3 linked regions of the Arabidopsis thaliana genome follow. The protein of the gene in region 3 interacts with the protein of the main gene of each other region in a pairwise test. Each region holds a gene or a part of one and is shown on either strand. Other genes may lie near its edges.

Region 1 (6,061 bases), on a different chromosome or scaffold from region 3:
GTTAAGTTATTTTTGTTAGTTTCTTTGTTTTGTTTTGCAATGGCAATGTTTATCTAGTGGCAGATGGGAACTGTTAGGATAGGGATTAAGGTGCAGAAGTGGACCACGAGACCAGCCCTCTGGGCCGGTGATGCACGTGGTTAGGGTATGGTCGGACCCTCCACTTGTCTCCTCTTCGACCCAGTCTATGTCGGACCCACTTTGGGCCACGCAGGTCTCTCTTTCATGGTGCCAACAAATAATTGTCTCTTTTTCTCTTCTTTCTTCCCAATTTATTGGTTCAACTGTTAACAAGTTTTTCCCTTTAAATGTGACAATGTGCCTCTTTATTACCTCTTTTTGGGGGAGTTTACACAATTTAAAGATTACTTTGGTTGACAAAAGAAAAAAAGGTTTCCAAAATTCACGAGTCATAATTAAAAAGTTATTATTACTTAAGTCATATAGATGATCGATGACTAAAATATACTATTTGTCATTGTTTTTCATAAAGTATATAATCTGTATAAGCATTGTGGAATTTTGCTATTGAGAGTACTGTGTCACTAATCACTTAATCAGTAGTCACCACCATTACCAAAATTTTTGTTTTGTCACACTATGTCAAGTTTCATATCCAACGGTTTGTAAAGTGCTTAAATGATGATGATGAACCATCTATATACGAATACGAGTGTCTTACTTAGACGTAAACTCGTTCGAATGTCGTTGTAGATATAGATACTCGGTTAAGAAACCACAGCTTTCAAGAAAAGAATTTGATAAATTACAAGAAAATATTCGTTTATAATATTATAATTGTTTGCATTGTGACTACAAGTCTACAAATAGTAGTTCTATATGTTAAAAAAAAAAAAAAAAAAGTTGGACGTATAAGTATTTTGAAGTGTGTCAACCCATGCATGCTGCATCTAATACATGATTTTAATTTAATATAAGTCCAAGGAACATACATTCGCACACGAGTTATACACGTTGTCATGTAAACTTGGAAATGTCTTTACAAAATAAATTGAAATCAATTAGACTGATAATCATTTATAAAGAATAATAATCGTATGATTAATGCATAATAGACAATGAGTTTGGTGGAAATCACCTAACAAGCTTAATCAAAGGTTAATTGGGGGAAAAACACCACATTTACCCAATTTATTCGTGACACTCAACATCCAACTTTTAATTCTTTGTTTTTTTTTTGTTTAATAAATCAAACTTTAGTTCTATGTATTGTCAAAACTTTTCTTTAATGCGCTATTATTAACGTTATTATGATTGTATATATGTGGCCCCAAAGCATTCGTAGCCACTATTTGCAAATCTCAAGCTTACCTTCCAAAAAAATATCCTGCCTAAATTGCCCCTTGTATCAAGGTCTCTAAACCCACTTGGACGGCAGAAGTCTCATTCAACTATATCTCAATCCAAAGTATTGATCATGAGTTATATATTCACAATACTGTATATACATTTCATAAAAAGTAGCTACATTCTAAAAAAATGTTAACGAGATTATAGCTAGAGGTGGTATGAATTTGAAGAGACTGCTGCGTGAGTTTAGAAGATTATGTGTATGTATTAACAAATTGATATGTCTTTAACATACTTTGTTATATCATACGTATGCAAGTCCTATAGTAGTTGCAAAGACACTACGATATAACTTTTAAGTAAACTATAAGGTAACTTACGAGTAGATGATTTATTAGAAAAACATAACAAGGTTATTACGTGCATATTTTATCAGTGGATCATCTAACAGTCGAAGGTTTAGAATAGTTTAGTGGTTCAAATATATACTCTGAAATATAAGAGATAGGATTCAAGTTTTCCTAGCTACTATGATTTCAATTGTGGTAGATCAGTGTAAACATCTAAAATGAAGAAAATACTCTGGCTCATTCTTAGCCTCCTTGAATGAATATAGTTAACTTAGGTCCGAGATTGTGTAAAGGCTATTAGATAATACGAGATAGTGATACCATAAATCACCGATCACTAACGACAAAATATCACAGTTGAAATGGACTTTGACTTTATCTGACAATAATCACGTTCTTGCAGAGAGATAAGATTGGCTCTACAGCTACCCAAAAGGCAAAGTTAATGAAGTTTCGGACAAAACCATTAATTGCAACCTTCCCTTCTTTTCCTACGATCGATTTCCGGAAAAGCAACTATTTTCACTAACTCTGCGAAAGTTCCAGAGATTTTGGATCTGGAATATACATATATGCCTTAACGAATCAAAAAACTTTTCAGTAATACAATAAGTATTTTCGGAACAAAGAAAACAACAAATAAAAAGCTTTCAACGGTAGATTAGAGAGATAGTTTACACATACGTATGACTATTTTTTCATGATTTCAAACATAAAAAAAAAAACTCACAACTACATGTAACAAAAAAAACAAAAATCCGATGCTTCTCGTGCATGGGATACAAATATTAAAAATGCATGAGCTAGATTGATTAGATAAATCTCAGAAAAATACTTTTGTGTAAGTTATAGTGACCTAAAAATCTCCCCCTATTAGTATTAAATGTCATATAGTTTGTGCTTTCGTTATAATTTATGCTACGTAACAATTACCAAGCCAAAACTCCACCTAATCTGCATCAACAAAACTAGTGACAAGACAACATCAGCCAATAGAGATTAGAATTACCAAATTATATGATTAGCGACAAGACAACATCAGCCAATAGAAACTATAATTACCAAATTATATGATTTCATAACATTTTCTAAATAAAAATAAGCATACATATATAGGAAGAAAAAAAAAAAGAGTTACAGTGGCAGTGAGAGCGCGTAAAAAAAAAGTAATTAAAACGGTAAAGAGGATAAGATGTTTGTCTACGGTAAGACTCACTATACTTATTATACACCGACTGTAAATCAACGGTGGAAGATATGAAGTCTTCAGGTTGATTGTTTATCCACCGTAGATTCGAATCAGAACGTTGGTACGACACCGTACTGTGCGTGTGCTGCTGAAGCATAAACATGACTAAGGAAAATGTCGTCGTTTTCTGTCTCTGTTCTTTTCGCAAACCGGCCTTTGATCCTTGGCCGTGACTCTGCATAAGCTTTCCTCGAAGCGTAACGAATCGTCTTCTCAAATTTCCTGTTCTTTCTCTTCTCTCTGTACCTCAAAACCCTAGCTTCTCTATCCATAGAGCTCGCTTGATGATCACCACCAGTCGTCGAGCTAGTGATCGTGCTCCGGTTAACAGAGTTGTTTGTGTTTCCGTCAGGAACTACACCGTATTCAATAGAAGAAGTCGAAACCTGAAAATCACAAAATTCAAAGATTAGTTTTTTACTGAATTTAAGCAAATTTTATGATAAAAGATTTGATTTTGACGGAGGGAAATTACACTGTGGCTGACTGATTGAGAAGGGTAAGTGAAAGCAGAGAGCTTTGATCTGCAGAAATCAATATCGAAGCAATGATCATTGTTAGTTAACGGGAGAGGCTCTGTTTTCGTCTGAACCGGAACAAGACTATCTCCTCCGGCGTTGTTTTGATGATGATTGAACGAATTCGGAAACTCGAAATCAATAAGCCGATCGAAATCAGAAAACATAAAGTCAGAAGAACCTTTCATGTTTTCAGTTCCGATTTCGATTTTAGCCGGTTCGTTGAAATCATTAGGAAGTAACCACGGACATAAACCGAGATCATCAGCCATAACCGGAACAGCGGTTAAATCAACGGTGGTGGATGAGCCAAGGATACCAAAAGTCGAAGAAGCTGAGATTTTGGCGACGGCGGTTTCGGCTGAGTCGAAGAAAGTTTCGACGGGGACACGTTCGTGACGGCTAGCGAGAGGATTAGCAGAGTGAATATCGGCATCACAACTGACGCAAAGAGCGGCGGCGTCGGCTTTGCAAGTGACGGCGGCGGGAGCTTGTTCACAAACTTCACAAACCCACACGCGCTCGTGGCGAGTGAAGGAATGGATTCTTGTGTCACATGCTATGCATAAGAAAGCTGAGTCAACTCGACAGAACACGGCGGCGGTAACTGATTTACAAGCGTCACAGGAACGCGCCGCCGCGCCCCATCCGCCGGAGATTGATTTGATACTCTCTAAGCCGAATCCCATTAACTATAACTTTTTTTATTTTCTTGAGTTCACAAAACTCTCTCTCTCTCTCTCTTTGAAGTTTTTGTTTGAGAACGTGTGAGAGTTGGGTATTTGATTTGCTTGGATGATCTGTCATGCCCAGTCGGACAGAGAAGAGACACTGTATTTTAACGAATTGTAATATGACACGTGTAAACATGACATCCACATAATAAAATCGAATTATGGGATTTGTTTTAATAAAATCGTGATGGAGATATGTTTTGTAGAAATGAAAATTAGGCTAACAAAATAAAATAATTAGGCTGGTCCTTGATATCGTAATTCATTTTTCTTTCATGTAGGAGTATCTACAAATTCAAAATATTTTATTTCTGTTAACTCCAAAACAAATTTGTTTGAGGTTTTGAATGGATTTTATCTATCATGTCGGTATTGAATTAGTTTTGTTTTGGCTGTTTTATTTGTTAATGAATAGAAATAAAGTTTAATTAATAAACTTCGTATGTTCTTGAGGCATCATTTCGTCTAGGGACCGATACTAGCTTATAGTCTCCTTTTCAAACATGATTTCAAAATTTATTATGTCAATGACTCAAATTCTTCTCACCAAACTAAATATTAAACTTTGATTTATTTTTATTTTTGCGTGTGTATGCATATAACTTGTACATCCTTAAATGAGATAAGCTAAAGCTTGTACATCTTTAAATAATAAGATGATATTAATGACCCATACAATTTTTTCATCTTAAAAGAAAAAAAAAATCTTCTTTCTCGACCAAATGACCACTATGTTCATAAATTTTACAAATATTTTTTTAAAAACTTTAATTTTCTATTTATTTTGTCAAATATGTATTATCTTTTAGAATGATAACTCCGTTACGTAGTTGTAGACTTATTATATACTAGTTGTATCGTATTCTAGACAGGGCCCTTTGAGGATGGATATTCATGGAATTTTAAATAATATTGAAAAAATGGACAGTATGGTCGGCATGATTTAGAAATCTTTATCTACAGTTCGGCATGAAAGCAAATTTGATTTTTCTTTCTAATTACAGAAACTTTGACTTCGAGAAATCATAAGGTATAGCTTTACTTAAGATTTCTTTTTGCGGTTTTAGTAATGAAGATTCGGTAATATATTATCAATAAAAATATACATTTTGTAGTGTGTTATAAAGCAACGTGTTCGAGATTCAATTCTCATAAGATCATACCTTATAATTTATCTTTTCTCTCAAAATATTAAATCTTTCTAATGTTTGCTTTCTGATATAATGTTTGCTTTCTGATATATATTTTACTAATCAATAATCTTAAATGATGAAGTATACTTATACGATATTTTCTTTTATAATGTTTGCTTTCTGATATGTTCTTCTTAGGTAGTAAAATACATTCTTTTTCGTTTACCGGCTAAAAACTGTATAATCCAAAAATTTACACAGGCCCGTTTGACCTAGGGTCTAGTTCCAAAAGGAAGAACAAAGTAAACGCAACGGTTGGTACTTAAAAAGAGAGTGAAAAGAAAAGATATAAGGCAACACTATCAAAATCCTTATCTATCCACGTATACGAAAGAGTTAGAGGAAACATATTTGTACAATAGAAATATTGCGATAGATTTTTATATCACAGTTCTATCTATATATATTACATAGCCAATGATATTTATCTTTATTGTTATCTTCCGACATGAGATCCACGCAAAATTGTTTTGCTGTTTTGGGCACTAAAATGCACTGTATTTTGACCCCATCTCAAGATTTTATCGTCAATTTTAAAATCATGTGCGAATAAATTTTCTGTATCTTCTTTTTTATTATTTTCAATATTTGACTATATATGATTCAAAGTTTAGAAAAGAAGAGTACTTATTACATAATTAGTTCGCCTCAATCAAAAATTAACCAATAATATATCGGAACAGATTCCACCACAATCGAGGATGTT
Region 2 (6,806 bases), on a different chromosome or scaffold from region 3:
AAAACCATCCTTCGTAATATTTTTGTTGTTTTAGGTATTTTGAAAAAGAGATAGTTACATTTGGTATTTCTTCATGAGAACATACATTGTTGTTATTCTTCTTCTCTTTCTAGCATCAGTACTTTCAGGTAGCTTTAAAGCTACATGGTAGTACAACTCAGTGCCAAATACCTCTTCTGAAATTCACTGGATCTCATAGCCTGGCATCTCAATTACATCATCTACTCCCGTCATTTAATGTGGACGCAACATATTTATGTGCCAATCCGATGTTCCATTTGAGAATGAAACATCTTGCCCTCGAATATCACTTAATTAGGAATATTCTAATAACTTAAAAAACACTTCAAGTTGCTTGTCTTTCATCTAAAGACCAACTCGTCGATGCCTTGACAAATCCACTGGCTTGCAATCGTTAACCTTTTTCAAATTAACATTTTTTCCAAGAGTGGAGTAGTCAGTCCAATCTTGAGGGGTTATGTAAAGGAAAAATGTTATTATATAAATGTAAAAGTCTTAAGTGTAATTGTAGATAGAAAAATCCTAATCTCTGATGTATAAATATGTTCTCTCAAAAGTAATATAATTATTGTTCAATACTAATTCCATATGGCACACTCTTCAGCCTGCTCTCGAGTCTGTACTCTTAACATAAATTAACTTGGTTTTAGTCCATCATTCCAAATTAAGAAACGGTGAACGGTTTGTATATTCGATAGCTACTTGGAATCGTTTTTTTTCTTCTCTTTTTTGTTTGTTAATTTGTTTTGCTAAGAATGTAAAATTCATTGAAAATGAAAATGTTTAGGGTTTAAGATATTGTCTGTCTTAGCCTGTATAAGCGGTCCCATGGCACAAAAGATTAATAATATGTAATTTCAGAATTTGTTTTTGCTTCCATATTTTTATACTTGTGATAGGGGTCGCTACATCAAGAGAACGAAACGCAAGATCATCTATTTCTCTAGCACTTTTAGTAACTCAATCTGAAGGTTCTTCACCAATCTCGCTGGTCTCGATCCTCCTTCAAGCCTCCACATTCTGCTTCTATGGATCAAACATGCTCTCCAAACTCATAAATTGTTCTCATGGAAACGGCTAGCTAGATAGCCATAGGGTATCTATAGTGGCCATTCATTTTTAGCCACAAATGTTTTTTTGGCCATTGATAAATAATGTAGCTTTTTGCAGATTTCTAGTGAAATAGTTGCTAACCTACTTTACAATATAAAACATATCACATTCATACATAAAAGGAAACTACTAATTCCATCAAACCTTTCTCCATTACAAACACTTATAATAAATTAGGGGGGAAAATTGTGGAAAAGTATTAGTAACCGAAGCTTCATTTAATAATACATAGCCAGAAAAAATGACTTGCCTTTTGAGACACCTTTCGAAGTAATGTGGGAATTGGGATGAACGAAACATAGGTGGAGAATATTCTAACACATTGATAATGATTCTATATGCATGCTAAGTTAGCCCAAATATATATATTGATACAAGACTGGACTACCATCCCCACTTAGGTAAGGAGAGTCCACTTATCAAAACTTTATTCCGATTTAACTATAATCCGCATGTGAATTTATATGAATATTCCATCTTTGAACCGAAAATCCCATCCACGTCTAGAGAGATCTCGTTATCATCCCTTCTCCATATGGTTAAGCCTGAAACATGTCTGCACGTGTGCCCTCAATAATAAACTTCTTACATAAAATAGTTTCAATATATATACCTTTATAGAATCATATATCAAGAGTATCATGCCTAAAAGGTATCAAAGAATGAAATTAAGGATGGTTGAATACCGGTACCATGCTCAACATGACTAGATCCGTCGAGGCAAATGCGGTGGTCCGGTCGCCATGGGATGGACTCATCGACGGATCTTTCTAAAGATCGATAGCGGCTAACTTATTGACTATTGAACAAGGAGATTTTCCCTCTTTTTTTTTTGTTGGTCTGGATCTTTGTGTACTATGCATCCTTTCCGTTTTATAAGCAAAGCAGAGGGTATTATATTATATTTTACAACATGAAAAATGATCAAAAAGCTACAACATTTAATGTTTAGGAGAAACAAAATTAATAAATAAAGATAAAGACGTTGTCTTTGGATTATTGACACGAAACGAGCGCAAAGCAACCTAATTTAAAAAAGTGCAAACGTACCGTCAGATAGTTGACACTTGGAAAAGAGTAGCCCACGTGTTGGGAGTGGCACATTTTAGCCTGAGACAATGATTTTGCTAACCCACGCCACTCTTACTTTTCAACTTTATTTTTTAATTATTTATTTATTTAGTTCCTTTTCCTTCTTTTGGTTTCGTTTGGTCCCACGCTCTAAGCCAATACGAGGATTCCAGACGAAATCTTTGTTGTGAAGACTAAAACACGTGGCATTAAGTTATTGGAGATATCTAGATTGTCTTAAAAGCCTTGACCACGTCATCATTCTGTATCTGACCACTCCAAACTTATACAGTATAAAGTACAAACTGGTCAAATCGTAAAATGTGTTTTTATCTCCGTAGTTCAACCTGAATGTTTCAGTTTCTATTTTGAGAATCTAGAAACATTATAAAGACCAACGTTATTAAAAAATAAACAGTTGAGGACCTACGGTATTGATTATGGATCACCTAATTAGCTAATCTAACACTTAAAATGCATTAGTTAAGAAAGTGCCCACCACCTAAATCATATGATCAATGCCCTTCACTAACTCCCATAATTAATTATGATTACTAGAAGCTTTAGTTTTTACTATAATGTTTTTCTTTTTGTCACATTTGAGTCAAAACAACACATCTCACTCTAATCATCTGTGTTTTGCTTTTGATGGAAGCAACAACACCCATCAATGATCAAACCAAGAATAAAAAAAAACAGGAATCGAAATGTGCAAAACATGTTTTCAAAGGTTGGGTATTTTTTTAGCTTACTCTGTTTTTCTAATGGAAGCTTGATGTGTTTGTATGAACCTAAACTTTCTCCTCGGCGTGACCAACTGTTTCTCATCTTTTCGGTTAAGAGCATTACCCATTGAGACGTTACGTTTCAGCATTGGCTCAGGGAGATCGATCAGTGGCTCGTGCTGATTGATATGGCTCAAGAAAGAGCGCTGAGGAAAGCTTTCTCTTTTCATCGAGCGTTTTGCTCCAACAGCTTTCTGGTCTTTCCATGACTCTATGTTCCACTGCCGAAATGCCTCTTCTGCTTCAAGTTGCTTCACACTAGCGATTTCTACCCGGTTTAACGCAACTTCCAAGGCTTGTTTACTTTGTTTAACTTCTTCGTTAGCTTCCTCCAGCTTCCTCAAGATCTCTATTCTTGAGACATTGGTGGATAATTCTTTGTTCATCTGTGCTTTAAGTGTTAATGGAAAACATGGTGTCTTAGGGAAGCAGAGAGCGTCTTGGTTTCTTCTGCTGGATAATATGGTCATTTCAGCAAGCGCAAGTGCTTCCGCTGCTCTTGCTGCCTCTTCCATTTTTCTTGCAGCAACCAATCTCATATCTGCAGTTCTCGGGCAGGTTTTGCTCTGTTTATGGAAAGCTGTATCATAGGTTTCAACTACCATCTTAATCTGTTCACATTGTGGATTCACTGGTAAATTCTCGGTATTGAATCTCTCTACTTGATCAGGACCTGCTGGTTTAAACTTCAAACTGTTAAGTTCCTCCGCTAGAGACGCTACTCCAAGGACATCTTTCTCTTCCTTCGTTTTCATATTCAGAGATTCAGCATAAGAGTGGATCAACGCAAGATCATCCATGGTTTTACAAAGATTCATACCAGCTTGCTTCATTTCCATGGTCATCAGATCCGGAGACTTCAGGGGATTACGATGGCAGTGCTCATCGACCATCTCTTTGGAGTGTGAACGCAAATGTTGAGGGGTCTCCTTGCATCTCAGTGCTTGCTGCTGAAGCTGCCACTTCAAATCTTCAAAAATCCTTTTGGTTGATCCAAGAGCTTCAAGAAGATCCAGAGTCTCTAACTCTTTCATAATCAGATCCTTCTCAAGCTCCACTGTCTGTTCTTCCATTCTCTTTATGTCAAATTCTCCCACACAGTCCTGAAGAATGACAAACCAAAAAAACATAAAACAAATCATGCTATATAATACCAAAAAAAAATCTTACATAACATCTTGCTAGTTCCAGAATCAATTGCCGCAAATGCAAACATCAAATTAGCTATCACTTATTACAAAATATCTACTCAGTAACCAAATCGAATCAGCTATCAGTTATTCAGTTTGTTAGCATACTTAACAGTTAGAGAACATACATTTCAAACTTTCAGTGACATTAATGCTCAAACTTTAAATGAACAGACTTTGTAAATCGGAAACTAGAAGAGAACTCACGTAATTGTCTTCAAGATTGAAGGGAACCCAGAACCCACGACCACCATATAACTGTGGAGAAATGTCGATTTCAGCTCTCAAGCATCCTCTCCTTGTATTCTCCGGGTTGAAATTCTCGGACCCGGTTCCGGTTCTCACTTCCCGGATTACGGGTGTACCGGGAATCGTCTCCGCCGCAGGGCTCTGTTGCCTCTCCGCCATTTCCGTTAGCTCGAGAACGAATTGGTTTGTACAAGTGAAAGGGAAAGATAATGAAAGAGTGATCTATTTACAGTAATCATAGTTACTGATCAGAAGCAAACAAGATTGAGAGCTTCTCTATGATTGTGTTTTTCTCGGTAATGAAAGTCACTCACGAGAGAGACTCGAAGAACAAGAATGCAGGCTTTGATGATGCTACTACTAATGGCTGTGGCGACGTGGCTTCTATTGATTGGTTATCTGATTAATTAATAAATGAAAATTTTGGGCCGTTGATTAAGGAAGCGATATTGGGCCGTTGGTACGAAGTTCAAGTTCGTCTATATTGGGCTTTTTTGTGAAGGAAATTCTTACGTATGTGTTGTTTGTTTCTGTTCAAATACGAATATCCGAAAATTGTTATAATTTTCCCGTGCGATATTAGTGTATAGTAAATGTATGAGTGAAATAAATAGGTGGAGCTTTCCCTTATAGTTTTCTAACCAATTTGTGTGGCCATCACATTAAAGCAAAATCCGAGTAGGAGAAAACGGACCACGTACGAATACGATTGGAAACGACCATTAAATTATACGACCTCCCTCACTCAACCGTCCAAATTCATCACCGTCGTCTTTCGATCTCTCACGTTTCTATTTATTTCTCCGCATACGTTTCTTCCAACTAATTAGAACCGACAAATATATATATCTTTTCTAATTACTATTGTTGGGAGTTACCAGTTAGCACTTGACATTGGTACGTATTCAGATGGTTTGGTCTGACACTCTGAGTAGTTCCCTATTATATCCTATCTAAATTATCATTTCATTAAATGTAAACCATTATATCTTTTGGATGAACATGCCCCAAACTTTTGGTCAGTAGTTTCAAATTACGACAAACAAGGTTAGTAGTCTTGATATATATTAAAACGTGTGGATTTGTTGGTCAATAATTATTTCCTTAATTATAAGAACACCAAATAAAAAGGTTTATAGAGTGGAATCCCACAAAAGGTAACATATTAAATACTCTAAGCAATGCTTACTACAGTAACTGTTTACCAATAATGTGATCCTCACCTCACGACTCTCTTATTATTAATGAAAACGCATTAAGTAATGCATACAGTAAGATAGCCACCTTTCATTTATTATCTAACCAATTTTTTCCCCTATGTATGATCTTCCATATACTTGTAATATGCTCATCCATATGAATTTTTCCTAAAGAAAATAAAAAAGCAGAATAAATATCCACGATTATATACAACCGTGCAAAGAAGATTCTTTTGTTTCATCGGCAAACTTGTTTTACTCGCAATACATATTACTCTTTGTCACCTCTAAAGAAGCTTCGAAACTAGCACTTGTTGTTTCAATTTTCGTACATCAATTCTCATCAAAAGCCGACTCAAACATAAACCGAGAGTTTATAAAAAACAGATGTCAGAAAGACTAGAAGATGACTTTGCAATCGATGAAGAGAGATCCTCCTACTATGGCGGAGCCTCCATACCATTCATATGGGAGTCAAGGCCAGGAACACCCAAAAACCACCTCTGCTCCGATTCCTCTCTTCCTCTGCCTCTCACACCGCCGCCCTCATACTACTCCTCCGGGATTTTGTCGACACCAAGGACGCAAAGCAAGGTGAGATCAAAACTAAGTAAGTTTCTGTCCTTCTCCATGTTCAGTGATCTCAGGAGGAGCAATCACGGTAGCAAGAAGACGGCAAGCTCATCGTTTTCTTGGTCTTCTACGTCATCTTCATCTTCCTTTTCCTCCTCGCCACCACATTCTTTGAAAAAACGTATGAGTCACGACAAAAAATCGCCACTTCTGTACGCTAACTACGAAGAGGATGAGCTTAGGTCTTCACCAACCTCGACTCTGTGTTGCTCCAACGGGGGAAGACTTGGCTGTAGTTCTTCAATGGGGAGTGTGACAAGAGCTCTGTTCTCTGGGTCAATGGAGGGTATGAAGAGACATGAGACCACAGGTAAAGCTCTAATCATCAGCGACATGAATAAAGCTTGATTATGTGAATAAAGCTTGGTTTTTTCTATGAGCTGCTTCGCCTCATTGAACAGAGAGTGTTATAGTTATTGGTGTGTGAATGTAAGTATATAGTTTGTCTCTCAGTCGTGGCCTTACCTGTGTATTGTGGACAGGCTTTTTCGTCAATTCATGTCTAAGTAGAACCAAGAACGTTCTCCCACTGAAACGATGTTAAA
Region 3 (8,421 bases):
TTTTGAAGACTATCATATTATATAGTCAGCTATTCCAACATAAGGGGGAGAATGTATACAACTGGTGAAAAAGATAAATAGAAATGAATTATCAATGATCCTCGGAGTAAAGAATGTATATTAAGAGTCCAAAAGATAATTCAATTACAGAATTTAGCGTTGTAATTGCCAGACGCATTTGCTGACCCAAATAAAGTGATGAAGTCACCTATACCAGTTGTAAATTAAATGCTCCAGAATATAATGAATGTCCTGTAAGGACCAATTTCAAACTGCTATTGAGTCTTAAGATCGCATAAAGCGTAATAGACCCTGGTTCCAAATATAAATATCCTCGTAAAAGTGAAGGAGCACAAAATTAAAAATGACCAAATTGAGGAAATAAATATTTTGATGATCTCTTGAAAAGAGTGAATGATCTCTAAAAGAGACATAAACATGACAAATGAAACATTTAAGTACTTGACAATGAAGAGATCTAGCTAGCTATGTCATGTCAAAATATAATGGAATCAAATGCAAATCGACGTCGTAATATATTTGCATGCTATGAGCAGTTGATATTATGGACAAAAAGGAGGATTATGAAAGAAAGTCTATTGAAAAGTGTACACAAAGTAATGATTAGCCAAAAATGGAAAAGAAGAAATAGACATATAATTATAATCTCTAGTAGAGATATTTGGACTAGTAGTCTATGCACATGATGTGTAAAACCATAAAAACATCATTGGAAGATAAATGAGTCTTTATGTGAAAGAATAGTGAAATTAATGAGATTTTCACAAAGATAAGAAATTTATTATGAAGAGATATATTCTCTTGTGGTGGATGTAATATTTTTAAGTATCTAAAGTCTGGCAATAAGACACGGAACACTGGATATGACATTTATATGAAATTCTTGAAAGATATAATCTCTGAAGGATTAATTATATGAGAATTATGTTCTCTAGAACTCTACTCGATCGAATAAAAAGAAATATATAACATGACATATAATCATATAAATGTATATTTATATTGAGTTTGTCAAAATATATTGATCAAACTAATATTTGTTTTGAAAATCATTAAAACTCCTACAGAGTTATCATAAGTAATACGATGACAATTATCTATGATAAAATATCACTGGATAATGATATTTATAAGTCTATATGAAAACCATATAATTTTGATCATTAAGATTATGGTTATTAATTCCAACGAGATATTGTATTTGATTGAAAATCATCTCCTGAAGAAGATGTTTCCGAGGGGGAGATTGAATGATATGTGTGGATGTACCCTTACTTTACGAGGCAGCATTTTAATGAGAACCCTTTATGAGGCAGCATTTCAAATACTTTACGAGTTATGATACTATAATGGTCATCAGGGGGAGTGTTATGAATAAAGATGGATGCCCATTATAAGGCCCATCATCTAAACCCATCATCTAGATGTTTCTAGGGTTTTACCCTTTCCTTGTACACCTATATAAAGAACCCTTTATCTCAATGGAATAACACACTCATTTCTTCTATCTCGTTCTCTGGTTATAACAAAAATAAATGATTTAAAACGAAAAATCAGGATGATTAATTCATTTTATTGAAATCGATTTTTTTTACAGGATATTAAAACCGAAAATTAATAAATACTTATGAGAGATTTTAGGAATGATTTCGTTTGAAGTAATGGTGGAGTTAATATATGAGAGATTTTAGGTAATATTTTTGTTAGGTAAATATTTGATTTAACTGTTAGCATAAATTCAGTGGCATTGAGTCGTAAATAAGTTCAAAGTCCAGAATTTATTTGTTAAAATGGCTGCAAAAATGTATATGTAGATGCATTATTTTGTACGTTGTGTATCCCAAGGTCTATTTAACAGTTATTTGCTTTGAGTTTAATGCATTATTCTTCTCTAATCCCTGCATTTTTTTTTTTTTTTTTTTTGGAAAATGGTAAATTAGATTCAAAAAAGATAACGTCGTTACAATTAGTGTATCATATGTTCTATATGAAATAGATTGAAATCAGAAATTAGAATGAACAATTTAGTGATTAACTTCAACTTTGAAGCCAGCGTTGGAAACGCATTTGCTTGTCGATCCATTGTATTAGAGTGGCTGCAGATTTTGGAGATTCATCATGACGTCTTCGATTCCTCTCATGCCAGATGGTGTAAACGGTGGTTTGAAAGATGTATTTCATCAAGAAACATGCTACACTATCCTTGCGTTGGGCCGAGACTATGGTGAGTAGTTGAGTCCAGTCACTTGTATAGTGTTGCTGAAACAATCCTCGAGCAAGCGCTTCACATAGTTTTTAACATTACTATTTCTCAACTTCTTTAAACAACATGCATAATTCTTCTCTAATCTTGCTTTTTGATTTTTAGCATCACTCATTTATGCATCAATCGATCTGACTCTGTGAGACGACAAAAGCTGGGAAGTGTGAGAGAAAAGGTTTATCAATTGAGTTGTACTTACTCAATACTCAAACTATTATAGATGTTTTCTTCTTTTGGTTTCACGAAGGATTTTCTTTCTTTGTATATGTACATGCAGGCTTGTCGAAACCCATGTCCAAAAACAACTTGGGACAAAAAATTTGTTGTTCATGCATTTTTGTTGGAGTCCCTGACTCTTGTAGTGTTGGAGAATAGGACAAATGAAGAAGTTCTACATGCGACTATATCGTAAGTTCATAATCCATACAAGAGCAGAAAGCTTTGCAAAACACATAGGCCAGATTTTATCAATCACCACCGACTTGACGTTTCCACGAGTCTTCGACGATCAGTTCATCAACTCCCCATTCCTCGTAACTGATTCAGAGTCATAAGTAAGTCGCAAGAAAAGAAGATATCAAATTTGAAAGAAGAGCTAAAAGTATTGATATAACTAATGCAATCTCACCTCATATCAGGTAGATAACGTCTAATGGTAAATGGAATCTTCCTTTGCCTAAGCTCTTTCATCGCAATCTTAAGCCAAATCATACAATAAACAACACAAATGTTCATATACATATCAACATTTACTGACAAATCATGAAAAACACAACAAGAAGGAAGAAGGCAACACCTCAAGTGGATCAGTCTCACCCTCCAACTCAACCATAACAGGAGCATTCATGCTGTATCAGCCAACAACAGTACATAGAATCAAACTTTCCGAGCCAACTAAACGGTTAATCAACAAAGATTGTTCTCAGTAGCTGACCTAATCTGCAAAGCACGAGTGCCGAGGATACGTGCACGTTCATACTTAGTCATAAACTTAGAGGTTTTACGTGGGCGTTGCACAGGTTCTGTTTCAACCTTATCTTCTGTTTCCAAAGGGTCAACATTAACATCATCGTTCTCCTTGATATCAGCATCTTCCTCTACTCCTTCCTACTCACACCAACACATTCTAATCAGCCTAGTAATAATAATAAGCAATGTCAATCTCTCTTCTACAAATAATAACTTACTTCGATCTCAGGCTCTGCTGGCTCATCTTCATATCTGCAATTGAAAATCACCACATAACATCAACAATTTGAAATCCGATGTATAAGATTCAAACGAAATTAGGGTTTTCTATCTAAACAATATGAAATTATAATCAATGCTACGATGCCAGAACAATAAGCAAATTTTCAAAAAAGAATCTCGTTGATAGACTCTCAAACTAGACAATAATTGATCCAATTGTTCTCAATCGTTTACGATTCGTCGGGAAGAAGAAGATAGAATCAACTGAAATCGAGTACAAATGATACTAACATAGGAAACAGAGAGGGAGAGATTACCCCAAGTCATCGACTTCATTGTAATCGTCGTCAGCCATTAAAGTCGATTTGAGAAATCGCTCTCCTTGCTCTCTCGATAAAACCCTAACGATCGATGCAACTTAACCGAATGACGGAGAATGCGTAAAGAAGACTCTCTATGAAGTTCGGTTTTTAATTGCCGGTTTTCTTAATGAACCGTCTATTCAGACCGGTTTTAATTTCAAACCCCATTTAAGCCCACATGTATTTTTTTTTTTTCCCCTAACATAGCCCTGGGCATGTGGTATTCGGGTCAGGGTCGGGTCGGATTTTTCGGGTTCGAATTTTTGGGTTTAGAAATTTTGGATCCGTATGGTTATATCAACAATTTCGGGTCGGGTTCGGTTCGGCTTCACTTCGGGTCCGATAATTCAGGTATTAGTTAAAAAAACCATAAGTAACCAAAACTATTTCGGGTTTGAGTACTACTTACCCAAACTTTGTCCAAATATACCCAAACATACATAAAAATATCCATAAAACCCGAAAGATCTGAAATTATAACAAGTTTTTCCTTAAGCCAATAATATAAAACAAGAAGTAAACCTTGTTTTAAGCTTGTTCCATAACTCAAATCATTAAACAAGTCACATTATTAGTGTATATATATCCTCATATGTATATATAGGGCTGGGCAAAAAACGGGACCCGATATCGAACCTGATACCCGAACCGAAAAATCGGGTTGGGGTGGGTTAGGGTTTTAAGAAATTACTTCATTGGGTAAAGTTTTAGTAAACCCGTGGGTATCAGGTCGGTCCGGGGTTTATCCGTTACCCAAACAGGATACCCGAACATAGATTTAATATCAAAAATATTAATTATATTTAATCTTAATATAATGTAATAATCTAAAATTATAATTATAAATCTAAATATATCAATTACTTTTAGATCTAAATACCCAACTATTTAAAAATTATTTGTTATGTTTGTCAAAATTTAGTATAATATATCTAAATCTAATTAAATTATTAAAATTTGTTAATATTTAAGGTTTTTTTTTTGTTGGGTACCCGCTATCTACACATAAAATACCCGTTTTCATTTGTTTGGCTATTCTTAGGGCCTGAAATTCTTTACCCAAGCCGACCCGAACCCGAATGTACCCGAACTAGACCGAAATCGAAAATTTTCATTTTACCCTATTGGGTAGTAAATCCATTACCCATTTAACCCGAACCCGAACGGGTTTTACCCGAATCCGAACGGGTTACCCATATGCGCAGCCCTATGTATATATATGTTCGGGTAATAAAAAGTACCCACGGGTATCGGGTTCAGTTCGGGTAATTTCCGGTACCCACGGTTATTTGAAAACAGAACCCGATCAAGTAATTAGCCGGAACCGAAGTAGAACGGGTTTGGTTATTTCGAGTCAAGTTCAGTTCGGTTCTTCGGGTTCCGGTATTATGTCCGGGCCTACCCCCACAAACGAAGTCAAGATAAACAATTTTTCTAGTGAGCAATTTGCACAAAAGAAAGGAGCCTAAGGAGGTATTGAACACTAGTGATTACACAATCAAGAAGCAAAACTTCTTTGATTCCTTGTTATCTTAGATCTTTTAAAACTCTTTCTTCTAAAATCTTTTTAGTATCTAAACACAAAGTACAGTGAGAGTTTACAAATCTTCCATAGTTTCACTTACTCAAAATCTAATCCTGTGAACTCAATTCATGTAATACACAATTCTGTAAAAGTTTCTCTGTTTCAATTAAAAAGAAAAAAAATCCAAACGATAATCATTGTGATAAATCACAAGATGATATCATCTTGAACACTAACATTAAGAGTCTTATTCTGGAGAACAATGCTTCCTATGACTGCTACTTCATCTTCCACAGTTACAGCCTCACCTGCAGAAACAAATTAATCAGAAAAAATATAACGAAAAATTTGTTGAACAAAAAGAAAACAATGAAGTTACCAAGAATGGTAATCCCAAGCCTGTCATTGTAATCTCCACTAGCTTGAACTCTTGACCATCTACCTATAGAAGATTTCCATCCGATAATTGAGTTTATAACAACAGCATTCTCCTGCATTTAACAAGAGTAGAGAACATTAAACAACGAATCTTTTGGATTCATAACAAGAAGAACATTCTAAAACACTGATTCCAAATTACCTTGATTTCAACATCGTCTAAGATTATGCAGCTAATAAGCCTTACACCAGGTCCAACACGAACATTTGCTGATATCGACACATTTGGACCGATCTTGTTCCAAAGAAATTTAAGTGTGTCATTTCATTTGCAAACTGAATGAGAAGTTTAGCTAGAATTCATGAGATGAAACAAATAAACTCACCTTTGCGGTTGGATGCAGTTTTACGGATGGGTGAATATAAACATCACCAATTATAGTTGGTTTCCTATTAGTACCATCTCCTGAAGCTAAAATATGAGGCGATGTTTCGCGGAATTGGGAAAGATATAAAGCCGAGCATTTCAAAGATTTCCTGTTTAAAGCAATTTCTTAGCATAAGGAGTAATCCAAGAACGTCTGAAACAATGATTACCACCAACTTACCCCGGAGTCTTGATCTGTTCCCAGAAATCCTTGTTCTCATATGTGTATAGTTGCTTCTTTCCAGCAAGAGGTGACAATATATCTTGATCTAATCTCACAAAATCTGCAGGAACAGACCTTGTAGCGGATTGGTAGTTGCTAGCTGCCAAGTTTAAAGAGATTATACAATGAATAACTTATGAAAAGACCAAAAGAATCATGAAAATGATGAAGCAGGTCTCTAATTGATAATATTGCAAGTCTCTGAGAGAGGCCAATAATGAATACTCACATGTGTCTCTTATTTGGCTATATACTTCTTCAATTGCATTGAAGATATCTGAAGTAAACACATAGACACCACAGTTTATCAAGTCACTGACCTGCATTGAGTAGATAATTTAAGCTAAACAAATTTCAGAGCCTGTGAAGGAATTAAGAAAACAGGATTGTTTAGCAGATAATTACGAAAGTCTCGGGCTTCTCTGTATAATGCAGGAGTTCTTTAGTATCAGGATCAGCTATCAATTCACCAAATTGGCTAGCTGCTTCTGCAGAAACCTGAAGTGAAAAAGCGATATTCATGTTTATGTTTGATCTTTATGTTTGTTTCCTTAGTGACATCTAAAATAACATCAGGATAACGAACCTTGATTACTAGCATAGTTCCAATACCACCATATCTTCGATGTGCGTCTACGAAAAGTAGTGAAGTACATCAAAGTAAGAAAATGAAAACGATGAAGCAGATTAGCGATTTCAAAGGGAGATTACCAAGTATGCCTTGAAGAGGGAAAGAACAGCAAACATCACAGTTGAGGAGGAAAACATGTGACTGTTCAAAGAGACAAGAAATGGAAGATCAATCAGGAAAACAAATGACTGATGAGGCAGGAACTAAAGTTGGGAATTTCATCAGAAATCAAACCGGTTTCTCTTCCATAATTCTATCACGAAAGTAATAAAGAGCACCAGCTGAACCATGGGGTTTATCTTCTTTCAAGTATCTATATAACAAGAACATCGTTCAATTCTCGATTTCACATTACACACCAAAAACCAAAAACACAAATGCTACTACAACTTACCGCACTGGAATTTTCAGCTCGTTAGATATTGAAGACACATACAAAGCAAATTCTCGTTCCTCGTAAAATCCAATCAGAAAAATCTGAGCCAGATTTGATATCTGTCCATGCCAAATACAAAACAAATATAATATGATCAATCATCATTACAAAGTTGAGAACTTTCCCATCCTTTGAGCCTGAAGAAACTATGAAAAGTTCAAAACTTTGACACTACAAATCATACAACAACAAGAAAATATTCCAAAGTGTAGAGTACTAAAATGGAACAAACCCACATAAAGACAAACGATCCATGTCAAATCAAAACAAGTTATGAGCAATCCACATTTCAAAGTTGACAACTTTCACGACTCAAGCAATACCAAACTTTTCTCAGGGATCAAAAGCAAGAAATAGTAAAAAGAAGAAACCTTTTTACAAGCAGAGATAGGATGATGAATCATAGGTTGACCAGCCAAAGGAATCAATGGTTTCGGTGTATTGAACGATAACGGGCGAAATCGAGTTCCTAAACCAATCCACATTAGCAAAAACCCAAAACCAAAATCAAAAATTCATGTTTTGAAAATAGAATTTGAGATCCAAAAGAGAATGTTATACCTTTGGTCGGACCACCAACCATGATCACAGCGACGACTTTCTCCTCCGACATGTCGAGATTCAATAAAACCTAGATTCGTTAAAGTTAAACACACGACGATGATCTGATTTTGTATTGAAAGGTCGTATCTTTGTAGTCGGATATTCTCAAGTTTTTTGAACTAAAGTTGAAAAACAGAGTAATCAGAATGGAGCCTAATAAAACGTCTTTTTTAATTCCGTTTTGTTTTTGCGTTTGTTAGCGTTTTATAATTGCGTTTGTGAATGACCAAACTTTATGAATCTTCTTCTATAGCTTCTCTCTCTGAACTTCATCAATGTAAATTTCAATCTTTTCTTCATTAATGTGTTCCGTTTGATTTTGTTTCTTCAGTGAAATGAAATTGAGATTGGTTTCTGATTT

The links.
Region 1: the proteins of NRPB6B (region 3) and COL5 interact in a two-hybrid assay, tested with the Arabidopsis thaliana proteins (one large-scale study listed by BioGRID).
Region 2: the proteins of NRPB6B (region 3) and AT3G56270 interact in a two-hybrid assay, tested with the Arabidopsis thaliana proteins (one large-scale study listed by BioGRID).

Annotation. Positions count from the first base shown.
Region 1 is NC_003076.8:23,353,629-23,359,689, reverse strand, and holds COL5 (CONSTANS-like 5), read right to left. Parts: upstream 4,354-6,061; 5' UTR 4,118-4,353; coding exon 3,386-4,117; intron 3,297-3,385; coding exon 2,961-3,296; 3' UTR 2,701-2,960; downstream 1-2,700.
Region 2 is NC_003074.8:20,868,002-20,874,807, reverse strand, and holds AT3G56270 (WEB family protein (DUF827)), read right to left. Parts: upstream 4,809-6,806; 5' UTR 4,589-4,808; coding exon 4,388-4,588; intron 4,094-4,387; coding exon 2,954-4,093; 3' UTR 2,701-2,953; downstream 1-2,700. Other genes in the region: AT3G56260 (uncharacterized protein), read left to right, coding at 6,016-6,609; AT3G56250 (uncharacterized protein), read right to left, coding at 6,652-6,726.
Region 3 is NC_003071.7:1,616,417-1,624,837, forward strand, and holds NRPB6B (RNA polymerase Rpb6), read right to left. Parts: upstream 3,964-8,421; 5' UTR 3,831-3,963; coding exon 3,793-3,830; intron 3,506-3,792; coding exon 3,472-3,505; intron 3,392-3,471; coding exon 3,219-3,391; intron 3,133-3,218; coding exon 3,081-3,132; intron 2,981-3,080; coding exon 2,913-2,980; intron 2,822-2,912; coding exon 2,752-2,821; 3' UTR 2,375-2,751; downstream 1-2,374. Other genes in the region: AT2G04650 (ADP-glucose pyrophosphorylase family protein), read right to left, coding at 5,570-5,670, 5,742-5,853, 5,943-6,035, 6,127-6,277, 6,349-6,490, 6,620-6,710, 6,796-6,888, 6,977-7,023 and 5 more. UniProt on the Arabidopsis thaliana protein: DNA-dependent RNA polymerase catalyzes the transcription of DNA into RNA using the four ribonucleoside triphosphates as substrates. Component of RNA polymerase II which synthesizes mRNA precursors and many functional non-coding RNAs.